Sus scrofa: one gene and its partner. The protein of the gene in region 1 purifies or fractionates together with the protein of each later gene. This does not show direct contact. Links are inferred from orthologs where the notes say so. Each region holds a gene or a part of one and is shown on either strand. Other genes may lie near its edges. The genes, in order: MCRIP2 and ATXN2.

Region 1 (15,531 bases):
CTCCCAGAGACTTAGGAGATTGTGACGCAAATCCCCTCCCCCCCTTCACCCCGCCGAGCCGGCTCCGCTCGCGCAGAGACATCAGAGTGCACGCGCCTCCGCCGCGCCCGCAGCAGGAGCAGGAACACCGGGCTTGACCGGGGATCTCGCGGTACCGTTTGGGCACCCGGCCCTCAAGGAGACGGAGTGGGGCTGAGGTTTTATGGACGCCTGGAGCGGCGTTCGCGCCTTGAAAACCATGGCAACTGAGGCATTCCGGAAGTTGTGAGGGCGGGGCTTCGTGGGTGGGCGGGTCTGTGCTTGGCAGGGCTCACGGGTGGGTGGGGCTCTGGACGGGGCGGGCCCGACCTGAAGGAACTGAGCTTGCGCGGCTCCAGGGTCTGTGACGCTGAGGTGACCCGCGCGCGCCCAGGGTTTTTCGCCGATGCTGCGAGGGGCCGGCGACCTCTGAGTCAAGGGGGAGGCCGACTTGTTGTGTCCAAAGATGCTTCGCTGCTCGGCTTCTCGGGGCCCAGGTCTCAAGCAGGCTGTTGACAGGCGGAAGGCCATGCCCCGCCGTCGGCGTAGCTCCTCTCCCTTGCTGGGCGTTTTTTCTCGCACGAGACCCCCGCCTCGCCGCAGCCGCCGTCGCTCCGGCGAGCGCTCTGTGGACGGCCCCCGGGATGGGCCGTGAGCCTCGGGTTGCTGTCAGGGGGGCGTGCAGGGTGGCGACAGGGGCCTGTGAGCGTGGTCCGACCGGGAGAAGGATCTTGCAGCTCAGGGAGGTGACGCGCTGTGGGGGTGGCCGGTCTGGACGCACCTCCGGGGACGGTTCCGCCCAGTGGGCGGGCTTCCAGGCCTCCGGACCGCGCCTTTGGCCTTTCTCCTTAAGGCCCTTTTTCCGGCTTTCCCGCTTCAGGGCACTGAGCTCTCCAGACCCTTTCCTCACCCTCCGCCTCGCCTCCCGTGTGTTGGCCGAGCACCTTGTCTGTCTCAAGGTGGAGACGAGGTATCCCTCGGTGTGACTCCCTGCCCACTGCTGATGACCCGTGGTCACCTGAGGCCTCAGCACCCAGGTCCCCCAGCCCTCCTCGCCCCCTCAGGAGGCACCAGATTTCCTGGGGGCTTCACATGGCACTCTTGGGCATGGGCCATGCTGTGATATTGTCATAGAGTACGAATTAGCTATTCGGCCTTTGTCCTGGCTCCTGGGACAGCGCTTTGAAAATTCTGGAGACTTCCCGAGTGATGAGATTGAGAGGAGCAGAGTTCCTGTCTTGCTCAGTGGGTAACCACGAGGGTGCAGGGTCGATCGCTGCCCTTGCTCACCGGGTTAAGGGTGAGCTGCCGTGCCGTGTGGGTCGCAGACTCGGCTCGGATCCCGTACGGCTGTGGCTGTGGTGTAGGCTGGCAGCTGCAGCTCCACTTCGACCCCTAGCCTGGGAACCTCCATAATGAGATGGGTATGGCCCTAAAAAGAACCAAAAAAAAAAGAGGAGGGGAGGGGCCTGAGACCCACAGATTTCCTTGCTTCCCCCATGTTGTGTGGGCTGCTTGAGGAAGTGGGCAAAGGCCCAGCAGTGTCTTCCATTTACCAGCCCTGGACCTCAGGTGGCCCTCTGCCCGCCACCCTCGTCACCCTGGAGGCATCGCTCTGGACTGGACACTGTGTGACCTGACGCACACCTTCCACACTCACGGAGCTCAGAGCCTGGGACGGGAGCAGCTGGACACGGCCAAGGGGTGAGGCTCTGGGAGCGTGTGCGTGAACACATGCTTGTGAGCATGTGTGAGCCAAGGGCACACGTGTGAGCACACATTTTCTGCAAAGTCCTGAATGTGTGTCAGACTCTGGGTGGGTCCAGGTCTCTCCCGAGGGACGCTGAACATTGGGCCTGGAGGTGCCCCGCACCCGGGCTGTGCTCAGTGGCACCTCCTGGGGGTGTGTCTCCTGAGGATCGTCCTGGGCGCCGGAAGTGCCCTCTCCCCTAGGCGCACTCACCTCCCGAGGGCTGGGGACAAAGTCCCCCGTTCTGCCCCATGATGTCTGGAGCCAACAGTAGGGCCCGGCTTCTCTCCTGAGGTCCAGGCCTGTGTGCCCACCATTCCTGAGCCTCCTCCAAGCCCCCAACGCTTCCCTCCATTCCCTCACCCGCTACCCCATCCCTCAGTCTCTTAATTTCTTAGAGTTTCTGTAACAAATGACCTCAACTTTTGATGGCTGAAATCAAAAATGTATTGGGAGTTCTGTCAAGGCGCCGTGGAAACGAATTCGACTAGTAGCGAGAGGATATGGGTTTGATCCCTGGCTCTGCTCAGTGGATCAGGGATCCAGTGTCGCCGTGAGCAGTGGTGTAGGTCACAGACATGGCGCAGATCCCGCGTTGCTGTGGCTATGGTGTAGACCGGCAGCTGTAGCTCCGATTAGCCCTCTAGCCTGGGAACCTCCATATGCCACGGGTGCAGCCCTAAAAAGAAAAAGAAAAAAAATGATGTTGTCTCAGTTTTGGACGCCAGAAGTTCAAAATAAAGGCGTCAGCTCCCTCAGATGGCCCTACAGGAAGCTCTTTCGTCACTGCCTCCTCTTCGGGGTGGCTCAGGCATTCCTGCGTTTGGGGCCACCTTGCTGTAGTCTCTGTCTCTGTCTTCTTCATGTCTCTGTGTCCAGTACCTGTCTCCTTTCTCCTACAAAGACATTCATCGTTGGGTTTAGGGTCCATCCTAACCTTGGATGACCTTATCTCAAAATCCTTGCTTTAATTATATCTGCAAAGACCGTTATTCCAAGTCAGCTCACGTTCTGAGGTTGGGGACAGTGGCTCTTTTGGGGGCTGCCATTCAACTCACTGCACGTGGCAACGGGAAGGGGCAGAGCGAGCCCTTGAAACTGAGTGGTAAGTGGGGGAGTCTTTTCCTGGGGCCACTGGTCACTCTTCATTGGCCGAAGCCCCTCCCCCAGTGTGGCGTGGCGAGGGCATGGCTATGAGAGGGTGGCTGAGGATGGCTGCAAACGTAAACTTCTTCCTCCTTTAACTTGAAAGGTCAGTGTCATATGGAGAGGCTTTTAGAAGAGAAAAATAGGGAGTTCCCATTGTGGCGCAGCAGAAATGTACCTGACTAGTACCCATGAGGATGTGGGTTCGATCCCTGGCCTTGCTCAATGCGTTGGAGAATCTGGCGTTGCCGTGAGCTGTGGTGCAGGGCGCAGACACGGTTCAGATCCAGCGTGGCTGTGGCACTGGCTGTAGCCCTACGAGGCTGTAGCTCCGATTTGACCCCTAGCCTGGGAATTTCCATATGCAGTGAGTCCAGCTCTAAAAAGAAAAAAAAAAAAAAAAAAAAAAAAGAGAAACAGTATATATTTTTATAATGATAACTGGGGTCTGAGTAAGGCTGTTGCTTCCTGGGACGCCCACTGTGTGTGCCTGTGGGTGAGACCTCACCCTCCCGCCCAGCTGCCCCTGCCCCCAACTCCAGCTGGGTTCCCAACTTCTCTGACGATGAGGAACGTTGCTGGCTGTACAATTCTGCCTCTGTGGTGGCTTTGCAGGCTGACACGCGGTCTTGGCTTGTGCAGTCCAAGGAAGCCAGGCTGGCCTGGGGTTCCTGTGAGAGGAGCTCTTGGCAGCAGGTCGATCCAGACCCTGACCTCACAGGGCTCTGGCGGGGCCCTCCCCAGGCCAGGGCAGGTCTGGTGCTCAGAGCTGGGTCCTGGGAGCTGTGGGGCAGGGAAGGCCCCTCAGCCCCACAGCCCAGGCTTTGCTGCCCCCACAACCTGGCCTTCTTCCACCCTAGTTCTCCTTGCCCCTGCTCAGCGCCTCTTGGGGACCAGTGGATTTTCAGTTCCACCCTACCCATCCCCTGCCTGTCCTGCCCCCCCACTCCTGCCACGTGTCACAACTGGTCCTGTTCTGCTGGTCATTCCTGGGAGCCCTTCCAAGGGTTCTGGACCCAAACTTTGACCGCAGACAAGGCTCATGGGCAGGGCTGGGACCGGAGGGCCTTGCAGCCTTGGTTTCTAGAAGATCTAAGCAAAGGCCAGGCCTGCCCGCCCATCCACCGTCCCTGTCCTGCCCCTGATCCATGCTGGCCTGAGCAGGTGCCAGGAGAGGAGGAGCTCTCAGATCAGCTTGCGGGGGAGGTACCCCCCCACCCCAGGACCTGGCTCCTTCTGCATTGTGCCCGAGGCCACCAAGGATGCCAGAGAGCCAGTACAGATGACGCAGGACAGTGCTGGCCTTGGTGTGACTGGGGGCAGGGACCAGAGGTGGGCAGGGAGGGGCCAGATTGGCCAGGGGTGTGCTCATACCTGGACCCCCTGCATGTGCTCTCCCTTCTCAGGGTCCCAGGCCTAGCCCAGCTGGGGAGGGGGTATTACCCTTGGGCAGGACAAGACGGAGAGCCCAGGGCCCTTGGGAGCACATGAAGGGAAGGCCAGCCCGGGCACCCCGGGGATGCAGGCTTCCCTGCAGGTGCTGGAACAGCTCGGTTACCCCCGCCAGCCGCACAGGTGCATGGCGTAGGTGGGGGGTCTCCTCCTGCTAGCTCCCCAACCCACTCTTCCCTGCGGTGTACACTGTCCTTATGGCCTGGGCATTGCATGGGAGGGAAGGACCCGCTCCAGCCCCTGCCTCAGCCTCAGCCCTGCCTGGGTGGAAGGCTTCAGGCTTGCTCTGACAGTGGATGTGGGGGAAGCTGGACTCTGTGTGCTCCAGGAACTACTGGGCCACAGTGCTGAGGGCAAGCCCCCTTGCCCCTGGGGCAGCGGCTCCCAGCCTGAGACGGAGCGCCATCGGACACCCCAGGCTCTGGTGCTGGCCCGATTGAGCCTCCTCAAATACTCCTGGGAGCAGAGCAGGGGCTCCGTGGGACCAGGTGGGCACACAGGTCTCAGAGGCCGATGCCATAGCTCTTGGACAAACTGGTCACAGTTTGGTTTTTAGGGGGAGGGGGCCATTAGGATTGATCTCAACCACACAGAAGCATGCGTGCCTCCTGCAGAGCACACAAGGCCCTCAGCCTCCCAAACCCAAGAGTGCTATGCTTCCGAACCTCCAAGCCAGGCTGCTGTGGGGAGAGCTTGGGCAGCCCTGAGTACCAGTGCTGAGAGCAAGGGGCTTCTCCATCTAGTTCCTAGGAGGCAACCCTGTGGGAGAGCCTGCTTGGAAGGGGCTGCCTGGGAGATTAGGGCCCAGTGGGAGATCTGGTTCCTGGGCCTCCAGGCTCCTGACCTCCTCCTGGAGGTCAGGGAGGCTGGGCCCAAGGCACTGTCCCTGCTCAGAGTCTGCCACTCAGCCCAGCACTGCCTGGGCAGTCTGCAGGAGCCAGTGCCCCTTCTCCCCTGTGGGTGGCCTCAGCAAGCTGGGTGGCCTAATCCACCTTCTCCACCTGAGGATCCAGCCCCCAGGCTGCTCCTGGATTGGTCAGGGGTCTCCACCCTCCATCAGCAGGGCACACTGAGCCAGGATAGGATGCACTCCTGGCTCTGGACCCACGGGGTGAAAGAGAGGCTGCCAGAGCAGACACATTTCCGCCCAAACCTACAGGGCTGACACCCCTTTTCTCATCTCTGATCCCTTCAGTCCGTAACTGGACTCATCCTGGCCCAGGCTCTCCCAGGCACCTCGGGGCAGGGCCTCCACCCGTGCTTCCAGGGTGGGCACAGATCACCCCCAGCGTCTGTCAGCGCTCTGGCTTCTTGACCTCAATGCTGACCCCACGTCTGGGTGCCCGGGGGCGGGAGGCCCAGGCCTCGGGGAATTTACTCGGCCTTGGCCTTGGGTCCGAGGGGCGGGCGCGGTTTGCGGTTGCCCGGCCCCGCCCCTCGGCCTCGGGCCTCTCGGCGGGAGCAGCCCGTTTCGCAACGGCGCGAGCACCGCCCCGGCCGCGTGCCTCCGCGCGGGCCCTTTAAGGGCCGGGGGTGTGTAGCGGGCCCGCCCCCTGCCCGCGGCGCCGGCCGCCCGTTAAAGGGGCCGCACCTTCGCCGCCCGCCAAGTGCCAGCCGGGCGGAGGGCGAGAGGTCTGGCCGCGGGACGGTGGGCAGGGAGGGCGCGGGCGTGCGGCGGCCCCTCCGCACCATGTACACCATCACCAAGGGACCCAGCAAGCTGGTCGCGCAGCGCCGCACAGGTGCAAGGGGGGGCGGGTAAGGCAGGAAGGGGGCGACCGGGAGGGGGGGGTCCTCACGCTGTCCCCGCCCCGGCGGCGGCTGACGCGCCCTCTCCGTGCCCGCAGGTCCCACGCAGCAGCAGGTGGAGAACCGGCTCGGCGAGCTCCTGAAATGCCGGCATCCCGCGCCCCCGACCCCGCAGCCCCCACGGACGCAGCCTCCAGGACCCTGGCCCCTGTCAAGGTGAGACGCCTGGCCCCTGCCGCAGCCTGCCTGCCCTTCCCCTCCCCCGCCGGCCGCCGCGGGGCCCGGAGGGTGACCTTGGGGAAAGGTTAGCGGAGACCGGGCCACATGCTCGGGACGGGCGCCGAGGGGGCGGAGCGTGCCGACCGGACCCGCGCTTGCAGCTCCGGCTCGGCTTCTCCGCGCTTCCGCCTCACCTGGCGCCTGGCTGGGTCAGAGGGGGCTGGGCGGGATATGCGTGACACCCACCCCTCCGAGCCCTGTGAGACCATAGTCGGGAGAAAGCCTGCGGTTGAATCAGGTGCCCGGGTCGACCTTGGCCTGCGTGGCTTGAGAAGAGCTGTCCCGGGACTCGCCCCGGAGGGCGGGAGCAGGGTGGTCCAGAAGGCGGGCCCGCAGGCAGCCTGCCCCTGCCCCGGGGCGGGGGGCTGCCAGCCCTAAGCTTGCAGGGCAGGCGGAGGAGAGGTGCAGGTGGTTCCTTATGGTCCTGCCAGGCCACTGCTCTCCTTTGCCCTTCACCCACCCCACCCCCGCGCCCCGCAGATGCTCGGGGTTTGCTGGAGTTGTGGGTTTTCCTCCCCTTTCTCACCAGCACTTTTGCCAAAGGAGGCTCCGTTCAACCACTTTGGCATCCAAGTGACTGGAACCCGGAGGTCCGTTTCCCCCTCCTCCAGGGCTGAACCTTTACTTTTTAGCTCAGATCCTGGGCTTTGGTTTCACTCATTCTCTGCTGTCTTGGGCCCAGGACTTTGGTCCAGGCCCTCACCGGCCTGAGGGCTCCTGTGCTGGGCTGTGGCTGGATGAGGGCAGCAGACTCAGGGCCCTGAGGCAGCGCTGCGGGGGGGGGGGGCGGTCTCGGCCCGGGATCTCCTTCCACGTGGAGGACGAAAAGCTTCCAGGGTGGCCTAAGAGGGCAGGGGTGGTGTGCTTCTGGCCATCCTCAGCCTGCCCTTCCCCCTCGGTTACTGGCCTTCGATGCCGCAGGTGGGGGCAGCTTGTGAGGGCCCGTCTCGGCTCAGGCTCTTCCCAGGGGCCTCTTGCTGGGAGCGTGTGGACCCTCTGAGGCTGGTCCTAGCGAGGAACATGCTGCTGGCCAGCCATGAGCACCTCTTGGGGAGGGCTGGGGGTGGGACCTTGGGGGGCCCGTCCCAGGGCCTGGGCTGTGCAGGGACACTGCCCTGTGACATTGGCCTCAGTCCGCATGGCCGCCCTACCGCCCAGGGGAGGGAACCAGGCACGGGTGTGTTGCCCTGCTCCTCTGCCACCCAGGCGGGGAGCCCCCCACTCTCGTACATGGAGAAGCCTGTTGCTCTCTCCGCGGCCCCTCGGCTGGGGAATAGGGAAAGCAGGGAGCGTCCGCAGTGGTCAGGGTGCTGGGGAGAGAGGGGGGAGCCAGCTCCGCGCCTGGAAGGTGCCACCCTGCTCGGGTCTCTGCCCTTCGCAGTCTCTGAGGTGCTGTATTCTGCCGGGTGCGGGGGCAGTGGGAAGACAGCAGGGTGCTGACTGCACCATCGCCCCGTCGCCCTGCGGTCACTACCTTCCCTGAGCTGCCTCTTCCTGTGCCTGGAAGAGCCCCTCCCTGGGAGACCAGAGCAGCCAGCAGGTCCACAGGCCTCTGAAATCACTGCACCCGAGCTTCCTGTCCACTCTCCCTCCCCCAGACCTGCCTGGGAAGAAGGGGTCCGAGCCTGGTGCACCATGGATGCTCAAAGTATCTGACCTGTCCTGTGGTGGGACTCAGGCCTTTGCGTCTGTGCCCTGTGGCGGTGGCGAGAAAATAAGACCTCAGGAGGTGATGTCTCCTGCTGGGGAGGAGAGAAAGTGGGGCCCTGTGACCACCTGATGCTGCAGGGAAGCTGTGCCGGGCCGTGGGGTCAGACAGACACACAGTTAAGTTCCGGCACTGCCAGCCACTCACTGAGTGTGACCTGGGCCTGGTCACTTCCCTCTTGAGCCCAGGCTCTTGGGCTGACAACATGCGGGTGGTCTACCTTGGCAGGAAGTGAGGGGGACGAAGGAAGAGGATGCCCCAAGCAGAGACAGGCCGTGGCCATGGGAGCTGAGAGCTGGCACGGAGGGCGGGGCGGGCCGGACTGCGGACTTGTCTGTAGGTGCACAGGGGAGCTGTGCCCTCTCCCCCAGAGGACCTGCAGTGCCACCTTATGTAATGCCAGCAGGGAGTGGTGAGCACCTGATTGCTGGGGCACCTTCTCGGCCCAGCTGGGCCACCACCTCGGCCCTTGTGAGTGGCAGCCGCTGAGCACAGTTCTTTTTGCCCCCGTTGATGTGCACAGTTTCCTCGAGGTTGCGGCCTTCCAGGGATAAGTGTGGCAGGCCAGGAGCTGTTCAGTCGAGGACAGGCGTGCATGCCCTCTGGTTGGCATAGTTCAGGCCCGGGAGGAGCCCTGGCTCCCTATACTCTCTGTGGCCACCCAACCCTGCCAGCCCGGAGCTGGCAGGACCGGTGCCCCTCAAGACGCTCCTCTTTATTTTAGTGCCCCTCTCAACCGAGGAGGAACCCCGAGCGGCGGTGGGTGCCTGAGCCCAGGATGACGAGCAGGCCGGCGGGACCGCGAGTGCCTGGCGGAGGGGCACGTGCAGCCCAGGACTCCCGGCTCCCTCCTCCTGCTGTAGGTGTGGGCCCCGCTCTCTCCACGGCCCTGCCCCGGGCATCGTGTGCGCAGGGCTGGGCCAGTTGCTACAGGCCCGGGCAGCCCATCGATGCCCCGGGCCTGGCTGACCGGGATGGGTCCTGTGGCCACCTGGACATCGAACGCCCACCAGGCAGAGCTCCTGCACTCAGGGCGTTCCTGCACCCACGGGCAAGAGCCTAGCCCTGGCCTGGGGCCTGCAGGGCTGGGCAGGGATTGCAGCCACACCCTCGTGGCTCAGGTTGGCCCGCTGAGCACAAGGAGGAGCCATCCCTGGGGCCTTGTCCCCGGGGCAGCTGGGGGTGGGCAACGGCTGCCAGCTCTTGCGTGACACTGTGTCATTAGATGGAAAGGCTTCTATGGGGGAGAAGGTGACCCAAGAACTGTGTCTGCTGGGTGGCACTGGGCCGAGCACCCTGTGCATTCAGGTCAAAGGCTGGGCTGGTCCGGGAGAGGCAGGTGGCAGAGGAGGTGCCTGAGAGCCCCTTGGATGGGTGCCAGGAGCTTGGAGCTCTGCTGGGGGTCTGGGAGAGAGTACTCCCCCCACCGCTTCAGGCTTGCTTCAGGGCAGGGGGGCTGACTTATGAGCCAGGCTGCTGGGGTGCAGGCCTGCTGGAGAAAGGCCTTGGTCACTGGCCGCAGCACGCAGCTGCCCTATGTTCAGGGAAGTGCCCGGGCTGGGCCTGGCCTGGCTGTGGTTGGTGTGGCCTGAGGCCACTCCCGGAGCTCTGCCAGGTGGCACTTGGGCTTAGAACAGTGGCTGACTGTCTCCTCCCTGTTCCTGCAGTCCAGGGCCGAGGCTCGTGTTCAATCGGGTGAATGGCCGGCGGCCCCCTGCCACATCCCCATCCCTCGAGGGATCCCAAGAGACCTACACACTGGCCCACGAGGAGAACGTCCGATTTGTGTCCGAAGGTAGTTCTGAGGCCCAAGGGTGTGGCCTGGGCCACTGGTGATCTTTCCACTGTAACCCGACTCACAGCGGCCGGAGGGCTGGGCCCTGTCTGGGCTCTCTGCCTCTTCGTCCTGTGACCGTCCAGCAGGCCACCCACTCTCAGATCTGGGCTGGGGTCCAGGGTGGCCACTAGGCCCCCGAGTAGGAGACAGGGGGCCAGGGGCCTGGCTCAGCCTGACCACCCTCTCCCCACAGCCTGGCAGCAAGTGGAGCAGCAGCTGGGTGGTGGCCCAGCCGGTGAGAGCGGCCCGAGGCCTGTGCAGTACGTGGAGAGGACCCCCAACCCCCGGCTACAGAGTGAGCCCTCCCCCGCCCTCAGGGGGTCCCATCCACCTCCCACCGGACCTGGCTCAGCCAGGTCCTATCCCCGGTGGGGTGGGAGGAAGACTGGAGTCTGACCCGACTCTTCCCAGCAGCTCCTACACTTGGGCTCGGGGTGCGGGGCTTGTGGTGGCTCCAGGGGCAGGCGCTGGTTGGCCAGCCTTCTGCTTTCCCACAGACTTTGTGCCCATCGACCTGGATGAGTGGTGGGCACAGCAGTTCCTGGCCAGGATCACCAACTGCTCCTAGCTTCCAAGGAATGCTGCCTAAGCAGGGCCTGGCCCTGCCCCACACTGGACCCTCTGCCAGGAGAGGACCACGGTGCCCTGCTCACCCACTGTGGCAGGCCAGGCTTCACCCTGGCCCTGGCCAGGCGCCGGCCACACCTGAAGTGCCAGCATTTGGACTTTTGCACCTGCTGACCCCTCTGTCCAGCTGTTCCAGGCTGCCAGGGGCTGAAACTATCTGACCTCAGTCCTGCTCACTGTGCCCTGGGCCAGCCCATGGGGCTGGCAGGGAGGAGCTCCAGGCTAATAAAATTGAGAAAACTGCCCTTTGGAGATGTCTTTTTTTGGTGGTGGGGGTAGGGGGAGTTGTGTCCCAGCCCCACCTCCCCTGTGGCCCCATCTCCCCACCGCGGAAGCCTTGTCCCGCTCTGGCCCTTGGCCTCTTGCGAGCTGCAGTCCTGTGTCCAGAGCCAGGTTATTTTGCACTGAAGTCTGTGGACACCACCCTGCCCCACCTGACACCCACTTCCTCTTGTCTCCTTGTTGGTCTTGGCCGGTATCTGAACCTGGCCTCAAGACCCAGCGGTGTCACCTGTCTGGCCCTAGGAGGGTCCCAGCCGCCCAGAACTGGGGTCAGGGCTCAGGATGCCTGATGCTGCCTCTGGACGCCCCAGGTCTTGGTGGGGAGCCCAGGGGCTCCCGTGGGACACTGCTGTGCCTGTGGACCACTCCAGGTGTGGATGCCACCTCCAGAGAGTTAGATAGCAACAGAGGAAGCGGGGAAGGTCCCTGCTGAGGGAGGGCAGCCCGCAATGGCTCATTCCTTACATAAAGACGGGCCTAAGAGAGTCGGGAGCCTCCCCCGGTCCCACAGCTGGTGGTGCTAGAGCACCGAGGCTCCCGACTTGGGACTGGCCGCAGAGGCCAGGTTGGAAGCGCCTGCCCGAGGGCGCAGCAGCGGAGGACAGATTACGGCCTGGCAAGGTGTCGGGGCGCCCGGGCTCCCACCGCTCCAGCCTAGGTCAGGCCCCGCCCCCGGCAATCACGTGCTAAATGCCCCGGCCGCGCCGTCACGTGTTAGGACCCGCCCCCGAAGCGCGGTCTCGTGCCCTGAGCCCGGACGGCGGAAGCGGCGCGGTTGCCAGGCGGCCGTTGCTAGGTACGCACTGCGTGCCCTGCGTGGGGCGCGCGGCGGCAGAGGCGGGAAGCGCGAGCTGCGGCGCCATGGCGCGAGGTAGCTGTGCGTGGCGGGAGGGTCGGGAACTAGGGGCTGGGGGCCGGGGGCCGGGGGCCGGGGGCCGGGGGCTGGGCTTCTGGGACCCGAAGTCAGGCGCCGCCGTGGACAGGTTGCCGCTGAGACTCGCCCGGAGCCCGGTCCGCGCGCTGGGCTCGCTGTCACCCCTTGGCCCCCTCCCTGGACCTGAGGAGGGTCTGGCCCCTGGGGGCGGATCCTGACGCGTCCTTGTCCCCAGTGTGGCAGCACCCGTTTCTCAACGTCTTCCGACACTTCAAGGTGGACGAGTGGAAGCGGTCCACCAAGGAGGGCGACGTGGCCGCCGTGACGGTAAGTGGGCCAGGGCACCTGGGCGCGGAGCAGGAGCGGCGGCTTCCGTCCTCTCTCCCGGTGGGGCGCTTTGCTGCACCCACGCCACCCCACCCCGCCCCGGTGTCTGTGCGGGACGCCTTGCCTTCGTCTTTCCCCAGGACAAGACCCTCAAGTGCAGCGTGTATCGCGTCCGGGGCTCTATCTCTGCCGCCAATTACATCCAGCTCCCTAAGACCAGCACCCAGTCTCTGGGGCTGACTGGACGCTACCTGTATGTGCTCTTTCGGCCCCTGCCCACCAAACATTTCGTCATTCATCTGGATGTGGCCACCGAGGTGCTGAGCTGGGGAGCTGGGCGGCCTGCGGAGGCCCTGCCCTTCTCCTGCAGGCGAGCCTTGTCACAGGTGTGCTGTGTCCCCACAGGACAGCCAGGTCATCCGACTGTCATTTTCCAGTCTCTACAAGGAGGTTAAGTCTACAGCCACGTGGCTTCAGTTTCCTTTTGTCTGTGAACCTGGGGCACCCAGGAAAGGTAACACACAGAGGAGGCATCTGAGGGACACGGAAGGTCTTGGAGAGGCAGCCCGAGGGGCCAGGGGGAGGTGGGTGGCGGGCATGGGGTTGGGAGCATGGGTGTGGGGACATGCCAAGGAGTGCTGCGGGCTGTCTCTTGAGAGCTTAGGCACTGACTTTGGCTGATGTCCAGCAGAGCTGGCCGGTGTGGCCCCCCCTGGCACCCGCTGGACCTGCCTGCAGCTTGACTTGCCGGACCTCCTCCTGGTCTACCTGAACCGGCGCCACAGTCACCTCAAGAGCGTCAGGCTGTGTGCCAGCCTGCTGGTCAGGAGCCTCTACACCAGCGACCTGTGCTTCGACCCTGGTGAGGGCTACACCCTGCGCTTAGCCTGCGGCCCACCTGCTCTCACTCTCTCTGCCTTGGTCTCCGCATCTTTGCTGGTACTTGATGGACACACCTCCCGCCGCAGCATCTTTTGAGTCTGCCAGCTCCTGAGACAGCCTGGGGGCGAGGTGGTGGTTGGGCTGGGAGAGGGAGCTAGGTGGGCACCCCTTCACGTGGAACACCCCTGCTTCTGGTAGCTGTCACGGTCGCTGAAGCCCGGCGTGCGAAGCTGTCGGTCACCCCCATACCTCGAGAGATGGCGTTCCCGGTGCCAAAAGGGGAGAGCTGGCACGACCACTACGTCCACATCCGGTGAGTGGCTCTGCATGTGCTGAGGGAGGCCTGGTGGAAGGAGGGCTAGGCGGCCCTGGGAAGCTGATTCTCTTTCCACCAAGGTTTCCGAACGACCGCTGGAAAAGGCCGTCCGAAACGGTGCAGGGGGGCTGTCCCCCTCCCGAGGCAGGTGAGCCTGTGGGGCAGCTTGGACCCGGGTTCAGACCCTCAGGCCCATGGAGTTGGTGGGACAGGGGGCCCGAAGCTGCACCAGGGGAGGCAAAGCCAGCAGTGTGGTCCCTGAAGGTGGAGACTCTGTCCCAAGGTCCCAGAGCCACTCGGGAGGTTGCGGTCAGGGTGCCTCCTGGCTCCTAGCTTTACAACTGGGAAGGGGTGCCAGGGTCCTCGGCGGGGGGCTGCAGCTGTTGGTGCAGCTTCCCTGCTGCCGGGTAGGCAAGGCCAGGGCCCACTGCTGCCCCAGGCAGGCCTCGCTGCCATGTCTTCACGCGCTGTCTGTGCTCTGCTCGCTGGGTTCTGCGACCCCTTCACCGTTGCGGTCTTAGCTGGGCTTCCCACTCAGCCGGCGACCCTCAGCAAGCCTCTGCAGGACAGCGCGTCTCCTGTGGCCCGGAAGCGTGGCCCCACGGCGGTGAGTGCCCTGTGCCCTCGGAGATGGGGCTGGGGAGGGTGGTCCAAGCGGCTGACAGGCTCTTGTTCCCCCAAAGTCCCACCGGGCCTCCTTGGCGCCCAGCCCCCTTCTAGACGTCAGCCTGTCCTGCCGGCGGTCAGAGAGCTCCAGCGCAGGTGGCCCCAGTGGCCGTAGCCACAAGCCTGGGGCCCAGGTAGAAGCCACTGACGAGCACGCAGCCGGTGACGCCCTTCACGTGTCTGCCTGTCAGCCGGCGGTGGCGCCCACGGCCCCAGAGGCCACAGCTCCACGAGGGGTGAGTGCCTTTCCCAGGAAGGCGGGCTGGACTCTGCCGTGGAGGGGAGTGGGTTCTGGACGAGCTGTGGGGAGGGACACCGGTCCCCAACCACCAGGAATTTGGGTAGGGCGTGTGATTTCTGCTCATGGTTCCTTTTCATCCAGCTTTCTGGCAGAAAGCAGAACCAGTAGGAAGTGACCATGGGCAAAAGCCATTTTTTTTGTTGTTGTTTGTTTTTGTTTTTACGGTTGTATTCTCGGCATATGGAGGTTCCCAAGCTAGGGGTCCCATCGGAGCTACAGCTGCAGACCTACACCACAGCCACAGCAATGCGGGATGCAAGCCTCGTCTGTGACCTACACCACAGCTCATGGCAACGCTGGATCCTTAACCCACTGAGCAGGGCCAGGGATCAAACCCACATCCTCATGGATCTTAGTTGGGTTCGTTAACCGCTGAGCCACAAAGAGAACTCCCCAAAATCGTTCTCGACAGAGTAGTGAGAGGGCGATGCCTCTTTGGTCTGTGGGATGCCTTGGGCTCCAGGCCATGGCAGGTCGGGGTACCTGCAGGGTCTAGCACTGTCTCTGGAGTCCTGGCTTCCTGCCACAAAGCAGCCAGCAGAGGCCACCAGGACCAAGCGACTTCCTTGGGAGGCACGAACCAGCTCTGGGTGGGGCGGCCCTGGTGGGACAAGGCCTCGCCACCCAGGGTCTCACCCCGAGTTCACCTGTTGCAGAGCTTTCTCCCGGATCCCATCCTGAGGCTGAAAGGGGCTATCGGCTTTGGGGGTCACAGCACCACATGGGTGAGGATCCTGTGCTCTCGTTGGGTCCTACAAGCATCGGCCACACAGAGGGGACAGCCCCGAGGTGGCTGCGTGGACCTCGGAGCTCCCCCAGGGGTTTGGTCCGTTCCACACGGCAGAGGCCCGGCCCTGCCTACGGCGCAGGCTCAGTGCTTGCTCATCGCAGCCACACCCAGTCGCAGGCATCTCCTCTTTGTGTTGTGAGCACCAGCCAGGCCACCGCTGGTTCATGTGCTCCGGCTTCCAGAGATCTGAGAGCCCTGGTCATCTCTTAAAGCTGCAATGCATGTTGTCCACCCCAGATCCAGACCAGTAGCACGGGGCCGCGTGTGGGCCAGACTGGGGGTCCCTGCGGGGGCCGCAGGAGGAGCGGAGGCTTGTGCTTGCCAGGCCCTCCTTGACGCAGGCTCTGTGGAGTTATGTTGGTGGAACCCCCGGGGATTCTCAAGTTGTGCACAGGGTTTAGGGGAAGCTCTGTGTCTGTGTGTGCGTGTGTATCCCCTTGACCCCTGTGTGTGAGACTCGGGGGGGAATGGGGCGGTCCAGGTGTGGGGGGACGAAGCCAACCAGCCTGTGGCCTTGGCATCTGGCT
Region 2 (14,899 bases), on another chromosome or scaffold:
TTGCTACATAAGAAACTAGTAGTTGTTTTAGCATACTATAACTGAATTTAGATGGCAGGTGTGGGAAAAGGAGTAATAATAATTTTTTAAAAAACTAGATTACTTCAAAGAGAGAGAGAAACTTACCTGAGAAAAGGAACGAGGGTTGAACTCCTTCGCGTTGGGATTCAATGTTGATTTCCTCACTTGCCTATACCAGAAGAAAAAAATAAAGGCCAGTGAAATCTGCAAGGAATTTATGCTTCTCTAGTCTTTTATACCTGACAGTTTTTTTTCTTAACTGCTAAACATCTAAGCAATTCTCACTAGAAGATCATTAGTTTCCTTCATGAAACACATACACATACACGTACTTCTCTTTAATTTGATAACTAGTCAAAAAAAGAACAAAATTTTTATAAAGTGTAATATGCAAAACTTATCTCAAAGGCAATCAACAAGAATTTAAACAGAAAAGACAGTAGCCCCTTACAAAAAATCCTTAAAAGCAATCCTTAATATACCAATTATAAAACATGCAATACTTTTTTTATTTGACAAAGTGTTTCCTACATGAAATATCTTGGGAAAAATCATGAATTCAATAAAAATTTTTGCCTCAAGTCAAGAAAAAATTCTCCCTACTTATCAACAAGGTGCATTCCAAAAGTTCAGCTATAACTGGGTTGTATGGAGCCAGAACAAATAAATAGATTGTGCGTAATTAGGTTCTAAGGCTAGCTCACAAAAGCCCATTTAACTGGCAATATATTGGATGTACAGAATTAATTCCATCTTTTTTTCTTTTTCTTTCAAATGAAGTTTAGTTGATTTACAATGTTGGGTTAGGTTCAGGTGTCAGAATGAATTCTGTCTTAACAAATCCAACCATTAACTAAAACACCGTTTGTTTGTTTGTCTGTTTTTCTTTTTAGGGCCACAATGGCAGCATATGGAAGTTCCAAGGCTAGGGGTCGAATCAGCACTATAGCCACCAGCCTTTACCACAGCCACAGCAACTTGGGATCCGAGCCACGTCTTCGACCTACACCACAGCTCATGGCAACGCTGGATCCTTAACACACTGAGCAAGGCCAGGGACTGAACCCAAGGCCTCATGGATACTAGTAGGGTTCATTAACTGCTGAGCCACAACGCGAACTCCTAGAACATTGTTTCTGGTGGAAAATACAATAAATTCCAAGTAGGGGCACTAGGTACTTCTAGCGACAGTTCTTAGTCCTAGCAGCACAGCCAAAAGGTGGGTACTGACCAGCATCTAAGGGATATTGGTCCCAAAAACCAGTAATTTTTTTTTTGCTGCACCCATGGCATGCAGAAGTTTCTGGGCCAGGACAGAACCTGTACCACAGTGGAAGCTTTCCAAAAACCAGTAATTTTTCAATTATTTGTATATTTACCAAAAAAGCCATTCTTAATGTATGCATAGGATTTTTTGTGCCATGGAGTGCAAAAGCAGTGGACAGAAGAAAAGTATAGGGTGCAATGACCTAATTTACTTAAGATCTCATTGCCAGTTAGTTATAAATTGAGGGCTACTTATAAAGCAGTCTAAAAGTCTAGACAAATTCTAGAGTTGGAAGGCTCTGGACACCCTACGAAAAAATAATGAAGGATGTGCTAAATTCCAGGTTTACTCACTCAGCTGCATCTTTCGTCTCCTCTTTATCATCTTTCTCTTGTTTACACCCTGGACTGGAAGTTTGAACCCCCTGAGATGTGACCTCAGGTCCTCTCTTGTGCTCCGTGTTACTGAGGATTGAAGGGGAAATGCTGGGGCTGCTCGGCTTGCTGCTGCCACTGGTGCAGTTGCTGCTATTTTCAATGAAAGAATCCTTAGCATTTGGTTCAATTTTGTCTTTGATCACATCTCTTGATTTTTCTCCCTCTCTACTTTTGTTTAGCAGTTGATCCACAGATTCAGAAGCAGAACTTGGCTGTAACTAAATAAAGGAAATAATTATACTTAAATATTTTAAATTAGTCTAGTAATCAATTTGTTCCATGAGCAAAACTAGTATTTGTAGGCATGAGTATACTAAAAGCTTTTTTCATACTTTATGAATAATGTTTTCATTATAAGGCAACAATAACAGTATGTCTATACACAGTAACTAGTCATGTAAGCACGCAAATGTCCTAGCCTAAAAAAAAAATTACGGAGTGCATACCATGTGTCAGAAATTCTGTATGTAGGACATAGAAATGCGAAATAGTTCCTATCCTCCCAAAGTTTACCATCTGGATGAGAATAGACAAACAACAACTGGGGTAGTGCTAAAAGATGCCGTAGGAAAAAGCAATTTATGGAAAGAGAAGGCTTTTCTTTGGAAGTGTCATATAGTTTAAAGTGTGAAAGATGTTGAGGGAGGAAGGCAGGTGTGGAGTTCCAAAACAGGAATACTAGTGCAAGCAAAAGAAACAGCATGTTTTTTGTTGTTTTATTCTTTCTTGGCTGTCCATGAGCATATGGAAGTTCCAGGGCCAAGGATCGAATCCAAGCCAGAGCTGTGAACTACACCACAGCTGCAGGATTCTGGATTCTTAACCCACTGTGCCGGGGCCAGGGATCAAACCAGTGCCTCCTCAGAGACAAGCCAGATCATTAACCCATTTTACCACAGCTGGAACACCAGAGATTGCATGTTTAAAGAACCAAAATAGGAGTTCCTGTTGTGGCGGAGTGGAAACGAACCTGACTAGTATCCATGAGGATGTGGGTTTGATCCCTGGCATTGCTCAGTAGGTTAAGGATCCACTGTTGCCGTGAGCTGTGGTTTAAGTGGCAGACATGGCTCAGATCTGGTGTTGCTGTGGCTCTGGAGTAAGCTGGCAGCTATAGCTCTGATTTGACCCCTAGCCTGGGAACCTCCATATGCTGCAGGTGCAGCCCGAAAAAAACAAAAATAATAAAGACAGGAATTCCCACTATGCTGCAGTAGAAACAATCTGACTAGTATCCACAAGGATGCGGGTTCTACCCATGGCCTCCCTCAGTGGGTTGAGGATCCGGTACTGTCATGAACTGTGTTATAGGTCGCAGACACAGCTCAGATCTCGAGTTGCTGTGGCTGTGGTGCTGGCTAGCAGCTGTAGCTCTGATTCAAGCCCTAGCCTGGGAACTTCCATATGCTTCGAGTGTGGCCCTAAAAAGCCAAAAAAAAAGGACAATCAAATCAAATCAAATCATTTCGTTGCTTTCTATTATTTCACTTACAGATGATTAAGCTGTTCATAAGAAATTTAATAATACATTTGCATTTTCAGGTTCCCCCAAAATATTAAGAGTAGAAGTCCCAAAGAGATAGCAATATAATGCTGCAACTACCTGGAATTTAAGAGTCAAGTATTAAAGAAGGTTTACAGAAAGTTGTGAACAGATAATATGAGAGCCAAAATGTTTTCTTTTAAATGAAGAAGTTATAAGCATTTAAAAAAATACACTAATTCAAACAGTGTGGTACTGCCATAAAGGATAGATATATAGAGATCTATGGACGAGAACCGAGTCTAGTAATAAGCTCTTCCACTTGGCCAAATGATTTTCAACAAAGGTGCAAAGATAATTCAATGTCTTTTCAAAAGACAGTGCTGTGGCAAATGTTACCCATATGCAAAAGACTGAATTTGAAACCCCAGCTAACACTACATTAAAAAAAAAAAACTAATGAAAACCACTACCACCAACAAAAAAAAACTACTCAGAATATACACTGGTGCAGCCTATGTGGAAAACAGTATGAAGGTTCCTTAAAAAACTAAAAACAGATTTACCGTGTATCCAGCAATCCTACTCCTGGGCATATATCCACAAAAGATAATTAGAAAAAACTCTTATTATAAAATATACATGCACCCCAATGTTCACAGCAGGATTATTTACAATAGCCAAGACAGGGAAGCAACCTAAATGTCCACTGACAGATGAACAGATAAGGAAGATGTGTTACACATATACAGCAGTATTATTACTCAGCCATAAAAAAGAATGAAAGAATGTCGTTTGCAGCAATATGGATGGACCTAGAGATTATTATATGAAGAAAGAGCTAAATATCACATGATATCACTTACATGTAGAATCTAAAAAAATTGATACAAATGAACTCATTTACAAAACAGAAATAGACTAACAGACATAGAAAACAAACTTGGGGAGTTCCCGTCGTGGCGCAGTGGTTAACGAATCCGACTAGGAATCATGAGGTTGCGGGTTCGGTCCCTGCCCTTGCTCAGTGGGTTAACGATCCGGCGTTGCTGTGAGCTGTGGTGTAGGTTGCAGATGCAGCTCGGATCCTGCGTTGCTGTAGCTCTGGCGTAGGCCAGTGGCTACAGTTCCGATTCGACCCCTAGCCTGGGAACCTCCATATGCCGCAGGAGCGGCCCAAGAAAAAAGACAAAAAAAAAAAAAAAAAAAAAAAAGTAAACAAACTTGGGAGTTCCTGTTGTGGCTCAGCGGAAACAATGCAACTAGTACCCCTGAGGATGCAGGTTCAATTCCAGGCCTCATTCAGTGGGTTAAGGAACCAGATGCTGTGAGCTGTGGTGTAGCTCAAAGACGTGGCTTGGATGCTGTGTTGCTGTGGCTATGGTGTAGGCTGACAGCTGCAGCTGCGACTGGACCCCTACCTGGGAACTTCTATACGCCAGAGGTATAGCACCTCCCCCAAAGAAAACAAACTTATGGTTACCAGAGGGGTAAGGGGGAAGGAAAAGGCATCAACTGATTATGAATGGATATATAAAACGTGGTCTATCTATACAATGGAGTTCACATAAAAAGCAAAGAAATACTGACACACCCAACAACATGGATAAACCCTGAAAACGTAACAGTAAGTAGAAAAAAAGCCACCCACAAAAGGCCACATATTGTATGGTTCCTTTCATATGAAAAGTCCAGAACAGCCAAATCCATGAAGACAAAAAGTAGATTAGTGGTGGCTTAGGGTGGAGGTGGGGTGGGGAGAAGTATTTGAAAGCAAATGAGGAGTTCTGTCTGACTAGGAACCATGAGGTTGAGAGTTCGATCCCTAGCCTCGCTCAGTGGTAAGGATTTGGCGTTGCCCTGAGCTGTGGTGTAGGTCGCAGACGCGGCTCAGACCTGGTGTTGCTGTGGCTGTGGTTTAGGCCGGTGGCTCCGATTAGGCCCCTAGCTTGGGCACCTCCATATTGCCGTGGGTTTGGCCCTAAAGACAGAAAAGACAAAAAAAAGAAAAGAAAAGAAAAAAGAAAAAAAGACAGCAAATGAGAAGTGACTGCTAAGGGCTTATGTGGTGCTTATACAACTCTATGAATATACTAAAAAACCACTAAACTATACTTTAAATGACTAAACCATATGTAAATTATACCTCAATAAAACTGTTACAAAAACATTCTATCTTATATGCTTCAAAGTAAAAACAATTTTTTTCCTTCATAATGTAATAAATTCATGCAAATGTATTACTCTAAGGGCATGAAGGACTGGGTGTAAAAAATAATGTTGAGGAAATAAAAGCAAATGGGCATGAACACCTGTAACATATTTATATTAAGTTGAAGATGATGCAAAATAATATCATCTGTTGCTTAGGGAATCTACTTATATGCAGTGTAAAGAATTACAAGGAAAGAAATCCTTCACTCCTACAGAAGGATGTAGCTGAGGTGGGCAAGTACCCAGGAGGACTTTAACTATAGTAGAGTGCTTGACATATTAAGTAAGCTGAGTAGCAACCATCTGAGCATTCAGTTATTATTCTTTTTATCATGTCCATGCATTAATTATAGCTTAAAAAAATTTAAATTCACAACTGTTAATAGCATTAAAGATGACCAGATAAATGTGCTAAAGTATGAAACAACATTTAATATTTTGAATACTGCCAATAAGTCAAAAATGAAGCTATCAAGCAAAAACTTAATTTTTAGGAAGGTAGAACACAGGCTAGGAAAAGGCTGCCTTTTGCCTTTGCTCTATCATATTTGAATAAAGTAATCAAATGAACATGAAGTAATAACTTATGATGACTTCCAATATGAAAATTACATTCTCTTTCATTTAATAGCTATATTGTTCTTATTAAATCTCATGATTTTAGTTACTCTACCTAAAGCACACACACAGACAACTTAAGAATATTTAGCTTTCTACAAATATGGTTTGATGTTTCTGGGTATACATATAAAATACATTTTTGTAAATGGATGATATAAAAATTCTTAGTAATATTTAAAAAATTGTTTTAAAAATTCTAATTCATTAGTCAATACAATACTTACCCTAAAATCATTCTTAAATTTCTTTAAATCATCAATCTGTTTTCTATGTTCAGAAACAACTGGTGATATACCTGTAAAAATATGAAGTATTAGATCTAGATTTCTTTTTCTATTTTTAATTTTTTTGGCTGTGCTCATAGCATGTGGAAGTTCCCAGGCCAGGGATCAAACTGGTGTCATAGTAGCAACCCAAGCTGCTGCAGTGACAGCACTGGATCCTCAATTCACTGTACTACAGGACAACTCCTAGATTTATTTCTAATCTTTAAGATTTTTTTTAGGATGGGATGGTGGAAATGAAAAATAACCTCTATCCAAAATAACAAAACTTTCAATATATTATAGATTTTGACATTTGTCAAATTATGCACTTAAATATCACAACACTAAGAAATTAAAGTGTTGACCAAAAAAGTAATATGTACTGGGCATCAGATTAGACATATTCCTTCCTATTTCTACAGATATACCTAAAGACTTTTTAAAGCTCTAACCTTTACTTTCAGCTTTTGGGAAGCTAGGTGATGTCTCATTGGACTTCATATTTTCTTTATTTCCTGCAGGAGAGTTCTGCCTCTGATCTTGAAGCCTGGAATCTTTAGCTAGAAAACAGTATTTTATATAAAAAGGTTAATAGAAGCTATAGAAGTAAAATTGGAAAATACTCAACCATTTGATCCTGTGTTTTTGGAAAAGAATATTTCCACTTAAACAGAGACTTTCCTACTTCGCAGACATATGAAATATATTTTTTCTTTTTTTTTGCTGCTCCTATGGTATATGGAAGTTCCTGGGCCAGGGAAGAAACCTGAGCCACATCACCGAATCCTTAAGTGCTAGGCCACCAGGAAATTCCACTAATAAATTTTACTTATATTGTTATTTACTACCCAGGAATGTAAACTCTCTTAAACTTTCAGAATAACATATATGAAATTAGCAGGTTTTATTTTTATTGTTCTTTTCAGGCTACACTTGCTACATATGGGAAGTTCCCAGGCCAGGGGTTGACTTGGAGCTGCAGCTGGCAGCCAACGCCACAGCCACAGCAACACCAGATCCTTAACCCACTGAGAAAGGCCAGAGATCGAACTTGTGTCCTCATGGATACCAGTTGTGTTCATTACTGCTGAGCCATGATGAGAACTCCTGAAATTAGCAGTATTACTTAAACAACTAACTTTATTTACATAAAATTTTTAATATGCCATCAAATACTTACCTATGGATAAAACAACATAACCATTTTTCACACAATGTTAAATGTCTAAAATTCAATTTCACCAATGACATCATGGATCTAGAAGCCCTTTCTTACATACCCTCAATGGATGGGGTAACAGCTCTGTTGGATGCAGGACTGGCAGGCGTAGGAGATGCAGCTGGTAAAGGCATAGGGACAGCATCAGTTGGAATAACACCAGCTTGGGGAGAAGCAAGAACTGGCCCACTAGGAGTATTTCCAATACTATTCTGTCTGGGAGACCTGGGTCTGTGAGTTTTAGGGGATAATCTTGGAACTACAAGAAAGAGAAAAGTTACCCATTATATCCTCAGCTAAAATGTCGCTTCATCAAAAAGGCTTTTCTGAAAGATCTAGGTAACAGTTCTATCTGACCTCCCAATTACTCATCTCATCACCTGTTTTCTTTTCCAAAGTCTCAGGAATAATGGTGACGACAAAGTATAAATATCTGAAGAATGAAAACAATTACTAATAACCATGTACAACAGTCATTTTCCCTCCTAACTAAATATATGAATTCTAAAAGGCAGTGTTTTAAATGAAGTTAAAAACTGGATTTCTAAGGAAGGACAAGTGCTACTTCTTAGGATAAAGATAACAACATTCTCTACTAAAAGGTGAGACTGTTTCTTTAAAATACATGTGTGGAGGAGGGGAAGAGAATCCCTAAGACGTAGGCTTATTTGTTTCTCCTTCAAATAATAAACACATTTTAGCAGTTTATTTACCACAGCAAAATCCACTCTTCAGTAACTAAGGAAACTGGAAACTCAAATTAGGGCAAAGGGGAAGATAATCCAAGGAAGAGTTCATATTCCACATAACTTCAAAATGAGTATCTAATAGGTTTCGTATTTTATATAAACCTATTCAGATTCAAAGATTTAGAGGAAATAGTTCAATTTGCTTCACTTTAGTGATTCTTCACCCTAAGTAACAAGGGTCATGGAAGGAAACTATTATTCAACAACTGTCACTTTTCTGATTAGTATAAAGAGCAAACCTGTAATACTGCTGGGTGTATCTATTAACAACTATGATTTTACTCTTTCACCTCTTTCTTTTTTTTTGGTGGTGGTGGTGGGGTGGCCCACAGCATATGGAAGCTCCCTGGGCAGAGATCAAACCTGTACCACAGCAATGACCCGAGCCGCTGCAGTGACAACACTGGATCCATAACCTGCTACACCACAAGGGAACTCCCTACTCTTTCACTTCTATAATCATGTTGTTACTTTCAAAATTCATTTCCATATCATCTGAATACTGTCAAATAATTACTGATACACAGAAGAAATTAAGATTTTAGAAACTATTTTTTGTCAACTGAATAATTTCCTTGTAACTGAAGACCAAATTAGAAAAATAGAAAGTTCAAAGGAATTTACCATAAAATTACACTTACATGAAAGTAAGAAATGTATATCAACTAAAGACATTTAATGGAGTTGGGTATATTTTTCTTTGTTTCAGTTTAAAGATTTTTCTTTTAAAAGTTCCATGCACTGATTAAGATAGATTATGTCACTGCATGCTCCAACTCTAGTTATCATAGAAACAAAACATTAAGTAGCAAAAGCAATCTTAACCTAATTGTAAGGTCCTATCAAAGTATACACTTTTTACATTTTTATAGCTGCTGTCAGCACATTCTTCAGGCTGGTCACAGATAAAACTTGGGCCCTTGTGTTTGTTAATCCTTAAAAAGGATATATAGGGAGTTCCCGTCATGGCACAGTAGTTAACGAATCCGACTAGGAACCATGAGGTTGCCAGTTTGGTCCCTGCCCTTGCTCAGTGGGTTAACGATCCGGTGTTGCCGTGAGCTGTGGTGTAGGTTGCAGACTCGGCTTGGATCCCGCACTTCGGCCCAGAATAGTGTCAATAGGGAGTTTCCATAGTGGCTCAGTGGTTAACAAACCAGACTAGTATCCATGAGTACATGGGTCCAATCCCTCGCCTTGCTCAGTGGGCTTGGGGATCTGACATTGCCATGAGCTGTGGCTGAGTCGAAGATGCGGCTTGCATCATGCGTTGCTATGGCTGTGGCGAAGGCCATCAGCTACAGCTCCAATTCAACCCCTAGCCTGGGAACTTCCATATGCCATGGGTTTGGCACTAAGAAGACAGAAAAAAAAAAAAAAAACCTCAATAAAAATGTTTCAAATGAATGAATGGGGGAAAAAAAAAGAAACACATAGCATTGCAAGCCTGTAAGCCCAAAATAAATGTGGAATCAATGAACCAAGTTTCTAAGAAGACAGGAAATGTGATCCCCTCCAAAAATTGTTATGCACTGTATTTGCCTCCCATTTGAGTGGCCCTTTATAAAACCATAATAAAATATATTCATATTTATGAACCCCATATGAATTTCATCACAAGACCCTAAAGTAGACTAGGCAAAAACTACTTTACTCACTGAGAAAACTGAAATTCAAAATGATCACTTGATTTGCTCCAACATATGGTGACTTAAGTGGTAGAACCCAGAATAAAAACTGTTTTCCAAATTCCTGGTTACTCTACTATTTTAAATATATACACTTAGACTTCCTCAAACAGAGCTCAAGCTCAGCCCTTTTACATCAAATATAATAACAAAGTGTCATTGATATTATGCTTTAAGCCAAGTGTTACCTACCCCCGCTGACCACTGAAGACCATGTGCCCCCTGCGGGACTAGTCCTTGCTGCTGGAGGAGCAGCTGCTTCACTTGGTGAGGTATGGGATACAAATTCTAGGCCACTGGAAATGGAACCCCGCCCAGCAGAAACTCTGTGATTTCGAGGGTGTCGTTGGGCCTTTGGGGACATCCTTGGAGGCCCTAAGAAAGGAACAGTGAACATCACATAAATGCCACAATGTCCACCAGTACTACTTTTCTGTTAAATACACACACCCTATTCTTTTTCTTTATCCCTCTCACACACACACACATTTCTCCCCTTCCCCCCCCATTTCTTCTTGGTTAAAAAAAAAAGAAAACAAACGCCATTTACATTTTTGGCCATACTCTCAGAATTATTTTGTGGAATGACATAAAATTTTAACAATAAAGTTTATTTTCCTTATTTTTAAAGAAAGGGAAGGAGGCAGTAAGAAATCAAACAGTGAGATGTCATAACTCTGCAAAGATTTTAGCAATTTGTTTACTCTATGTCCATAATTTATAGGCATATAAAAATAATAGAACATTTATAAAGGTTATAGCTACATGATGTAATAATCTTTATTTTACCACATACTTTTAGCTTTTTCCTTCAAATTTTCTTTAATACATTACTTATAAAATTAGAAGAAAAATATATTTTTTAGAGTATCTTTTTTTTTTTTTTTTTGGCTGTGCAGGTGGCATGCAGAAGTTCCCGGGCCAGGGAACCCGCACCACAGCAGTGACCCGAGCCACAGCAATGACAATGTTGATGATCCTTAACCTGCTGAGCTGCCAGGGAACTCCAGGGAAAAAAACTCTTTAAAGAGAAAACTATTAACCTCAATACATTTTTGTACTAAGGATTATATTCAAATTTCCCTTAATTTCTCTAAAACCTTAATTTATTAACCTTTTCTGCCATGATGATCAATTTTATAATCCATATCTTAAAGCAGTCCTCACTTGTAAGCAGTTTCTCAGACTTAACAGTCTTAACTAACAGTCTGGGAGCTAAAAATTCTACTGGTTTTAAGGCAGGACTTGCAGACTAGAGTAACTGACACTTGGGGAAGAAATCTGCACTATATGAATTGTCAAAATTCCACATCAATTCTGTCACCCCATTAGCGATTTCTATTTCTAAAGAAGTCTACTGTGCATTCAAACAAAACATCAGGTGAAAACAGTGGACAGAATGGCTCTTACCAGAGAAGCCTGATAGTGCTAACACTTGTCAGGCTTTGTACTATCACTGACAGTGCAAAGTTCATTATTTTTTTATTTTATTTTTTTTTAGGGCCACACACGTGGCATATGGAGTCCCAGGCTAGGGGTCAAATTGGATCTACAGCTGCAGACCTACACCACAGCCGCGGCAACACCAGAGCCAAGCCTCGTCTGTGACCTACACGAGAGCCTATGGGAACACCGGAGCCATAACTGAAACTCCCAAAGTTCATTCTTAATGTCAATGCCAAAGCTGCTGAACTGGCACCTTGCTGCCAAACTCTTTAAACTGTCAAATTCATTTATGTCCTTAGTAGTACTTCAATCATGGACATACCTTAAGAATGTTAATGTTATATAATTTTAAACTGAAGATACAATTTATACTGAAGATTGAATTAGGAACTGGGTATTTGCATATTTATACATATTTTTATATCCCTTTATAGAAAAAGACCAAGAAAGATGGTTGGCATAGCTCAATGAAATCAAAGTTAGAATTTAACTTTAAAAAATTCAGTCTTTTTGGCAGTATGTAAAATACTTGCAGAAACAAAATAATTCCCTATATTGAATACAGAAAACCATTATATTTAATAGCTTTATTTTGAAGTTTACATTTTAAAAATACTTCAGTGTCACCTAACTACACAACTAGAAAACCTATTTTCATTCAATTAGTTAAAAATAAAGAGTGAATAATGTAGCATCCCTGAATATGCAGAAGGTATACTCTGACGTGAATCTTTCTATCTAACCATGGTGAACAAGCTCACACTCACTAATGAGTCTTGCTTTTATCTAACATATTCTCATGATATGAACATCACTTATGCAAATAATAGACCAAATAAATACTTCATCAGAATTAAACTTTTCTTTTAGAAGCCACCATCACAGACACTTTTGAGTAGGGAAGTAACCTTGAAAATCAGTGCAATGGGCTGTTTAAGGTTAGCCTCTTTAGTCAGGATCACATGACCTCCCTGCCTAGATGGCAAATATTTATTAAACAGCAGGCAACATGTTTTCTCTAGGCAAGCACTTTATGCCAGAAAACTGTATCAGTTTCAACATAAGCAATATTACCTGCAATTTTAATGAACAAATCAGATTAAAATTTTAATATCAAATGCTCTCAATAACATCAAAGGCCATTATCATTCAGAAAATAGGTTTTTAATTTATTCACTACATTTAAATAAAAATGTGACCTTTCTACAACACATCTATGTATCTGATATATAGCAATGGTGGATTTAGCATCAAACATTGAATGAGAATTACAGGATTTTATTTAATTTATTTATTTATTTTGTCTTTTGTCTTTTCAGGGCTGCACCTGCGGCATATGGAGGTTCCCAGGCTAGGGGTCTAATCAGAGCCATTGCTGCTGGCCTACGCCACAGGCACAGCAACACCAGATCCTTAACCGTCTGAGCAAGGCCAGGGATTGAACCTGCAACCTCATGGTTCCTAGTCGGATTCATTTCCACTGCACCACGACGGGAACTCCAGGATTTTATTTTTTGACAAGGGTAAAAAGACCCTTAAAGATTCATACATTGTTTTTATTAACAGTTTTATCTTAGATCAAGGACTTCTTGCAGATTAAATAAATATTACACAATAAAATACTACAAAGCTAATTTTTTTTTTTTAAAACTCCCAAACACAAAATGAAACTCTGTATTGTCATCTATGGGCAAACACACAGGGGCAGCTACATGCAATGTCCCTCTCAAAAAGGACCTTTAAATCACCACTCCTGCCTTTGGCCAACAGGCAGAATCACGAGTAACCTTGGCAGGGAGCTATAAAATGACAGGCTCTACAGTAAGTCCAAGACTGGTGAAGAAAGTTCACGTTTTACCATTAACCACTACATACATTATAAAGTGGGAGGGAGAAGGCCTTGGGCTATAAAGCAGTAGCATCATTACCAGGCAGAGATTAAACCCCCATTCTTACAATTCAAGATAATTCATCGCTTCACACGCATTTATCAAATTTCTCTCTAGTGAACAAAAGGTTAATAGAAATAGTTTTAATAAACTAAAGTTAAAACACGGAAATTATAGGTTATTAAATAATGAAGAGGAAACTATTTTGTAATTATAAACTCACATAGGAGTTAAACAAAGACAAACAAAAACATGAACAAATTGTGGTATTGTACCTTCTGAAGACATGCGTTTAGGCATAGTAGAGACAGGAGCTGGAGAACCATGAGCAGAGGGGTGAGACGGGGGTCTGGATGGCCGCGAGGGGGGCCTGGAGGGCGGCCGTGTAGGGGTGGCTGCCCGAGGTGGAAGAGAGTTGGGACCTGACTGGTAGCGAGAAGGTGGGCGAGAGGAAGGAGATGGGCAAGGCGATGGCCAGGGAACACCTGACAGAACAAATGATATGAAGGAAAGTATAAAAACTAAAGAAAAAAATGAGGGAAAAAAAGTAAACAGAAAAAAAAGTAAAATGACAAAAATGATTTCTTGTACATTTTAACCCTTTGAGGACAGTCATTTGATTTGTGATAAGTTTTAGCATAACTTAACTGACATAAATTCACATTTTACTTTAACCTCCTTAAAATTCTGTTTAAATGAACACACGTTCCCAAAGGGTTAATTAGGATCTACACATACTATTGAAGAAGACAGTTAAGACTATGCCTATTAATCCTGCTTCTATAACTGTTTCTCGGTAATCAATTGTTAAAAGGAGTACAACATACACTAGATAATTTCACACAATAAATCACAAAACTCAGGAATCGGATTATTTACTATATTAGTTTTAGCTTTCTGAAACATCAGCTATTATATCCCATTAAAAATGCTAGTTTCTTATAATTATCTGTGATTTTCTTCTAGTTCATATTTGAATGCAAAGCTCAGTTTGAAATCTCATTAAACAACACCATTTAAGGAGAAATGTAACATTACTTCTGCTATTTTCTAGAGTCACAGGAGTGACAGGTTAATATCCACTGCCTTTTCACTTATTTTAATCCTATCAAATTGGGAAAAAGGGGGACATTCTAAATAATTTATGCAATTAAACATTCATTTAAGAGACTGCTTAATAAACAATGCAACTACAGAGCAGTCATCACCAAATAACTGACACCAAGAAATATGCACAGGTCGATGTACAGCTAACATGTAACATGACGTATCACTTACCTCAATCTTAGGAAACAGTCCAGGTCTCCTCTCCATAGGGTTCCACACACTTGAGTATCATACATTTCCTAGCCCCTTTCAGGTTTTTTACTTTGAAAATTCTGTTCATAAACAACTAAAACTCTTTACTCAGTGAGCAAAGAAATTTCACCCCCAATACAAAGTACAGAAAATACTCAAGAGTGTTCATTTGGAGAGGAATTCTGGAGAAAGATTCAATGAAAACAAATGAAATTGGAAACTTAGTGTTCTCTATTTTTCTAACTTTCCAAATTCACATATCTAAAATTGAAAGCCACTGTTCCCTGGTAATAACACAGT

What was found.
Region 2: the proteins of MCRIP2 (region 1) and ATXN2 purify together in Homo sapiens (co-immunoprecipitation; 3 studies listed by BioGRID and IntAct, with this or other methods). This does not show direct contact. The link is inferred for Sus scrofa from reciprocal best matches to the Homo sapiens genes MCRIP2 and ATXN2.

What each region holds. Positions count from the first base shown.
Region 1 is NC_010445.4:41,118,317-41,133,847, reverse strand, and holds MCRIP2 (MAPK regulated corepressor interacting protein 2), read left to right. Parts: upstream 1-5,935; 5' UTR 5,936-6,056; coding exon 6,057-6,108; exon of another isoform or gene 6,109-6,124; intron 6,125-6,213; coding exon 6,214-6,331; intron 6,332-8,826; coding exon of another isoform or gene 8,827-8,965; intron 8,966-9,769; coding exon 9,770-9,897; intron 9,898-10,132; coding exon 10,133-10,234; intron 10,235-10,436; coding exon 10,437-10,507; 3' UTR 10,508-10,811; downstream 10,812-15,531. Other genes in the region: WDR90 (WD repeat-containing protein 90), read left to right, coding at 11,539-11,719, 11,958-12,049, 12,190-12,366, 12,455-12,563, 12,738-12,911, 13,130-13,244, 13,328-13,395, 13,691-13,854 and 2 more.
Region 2 is NC_010456.5:32,699,721-32,714,619, forward strand, and holds part of ATXN2 (ataxin-2), read right to left. Parts: intron 13,822-14,899; coding exon 13,576-13,821; intron 10,341-13,575; coding exon 10,158-10,340; intron 7,788-10,157; coding exon 7,590-7,787; intron 6,870-7,589; coding exon 6,762-6,869; intron 6,339-6,761; coding exon 6,268-6,338; intron 1,944-6,267; coding exon 1,642-1,943; intron 191-1,641; coding exon 127-190; intron 1-126. UniProt on the Homo sapiens protein: Involved in EGFR trafficking, acting as negative regulator of endocytic EGFR internalization at the plasma membrane.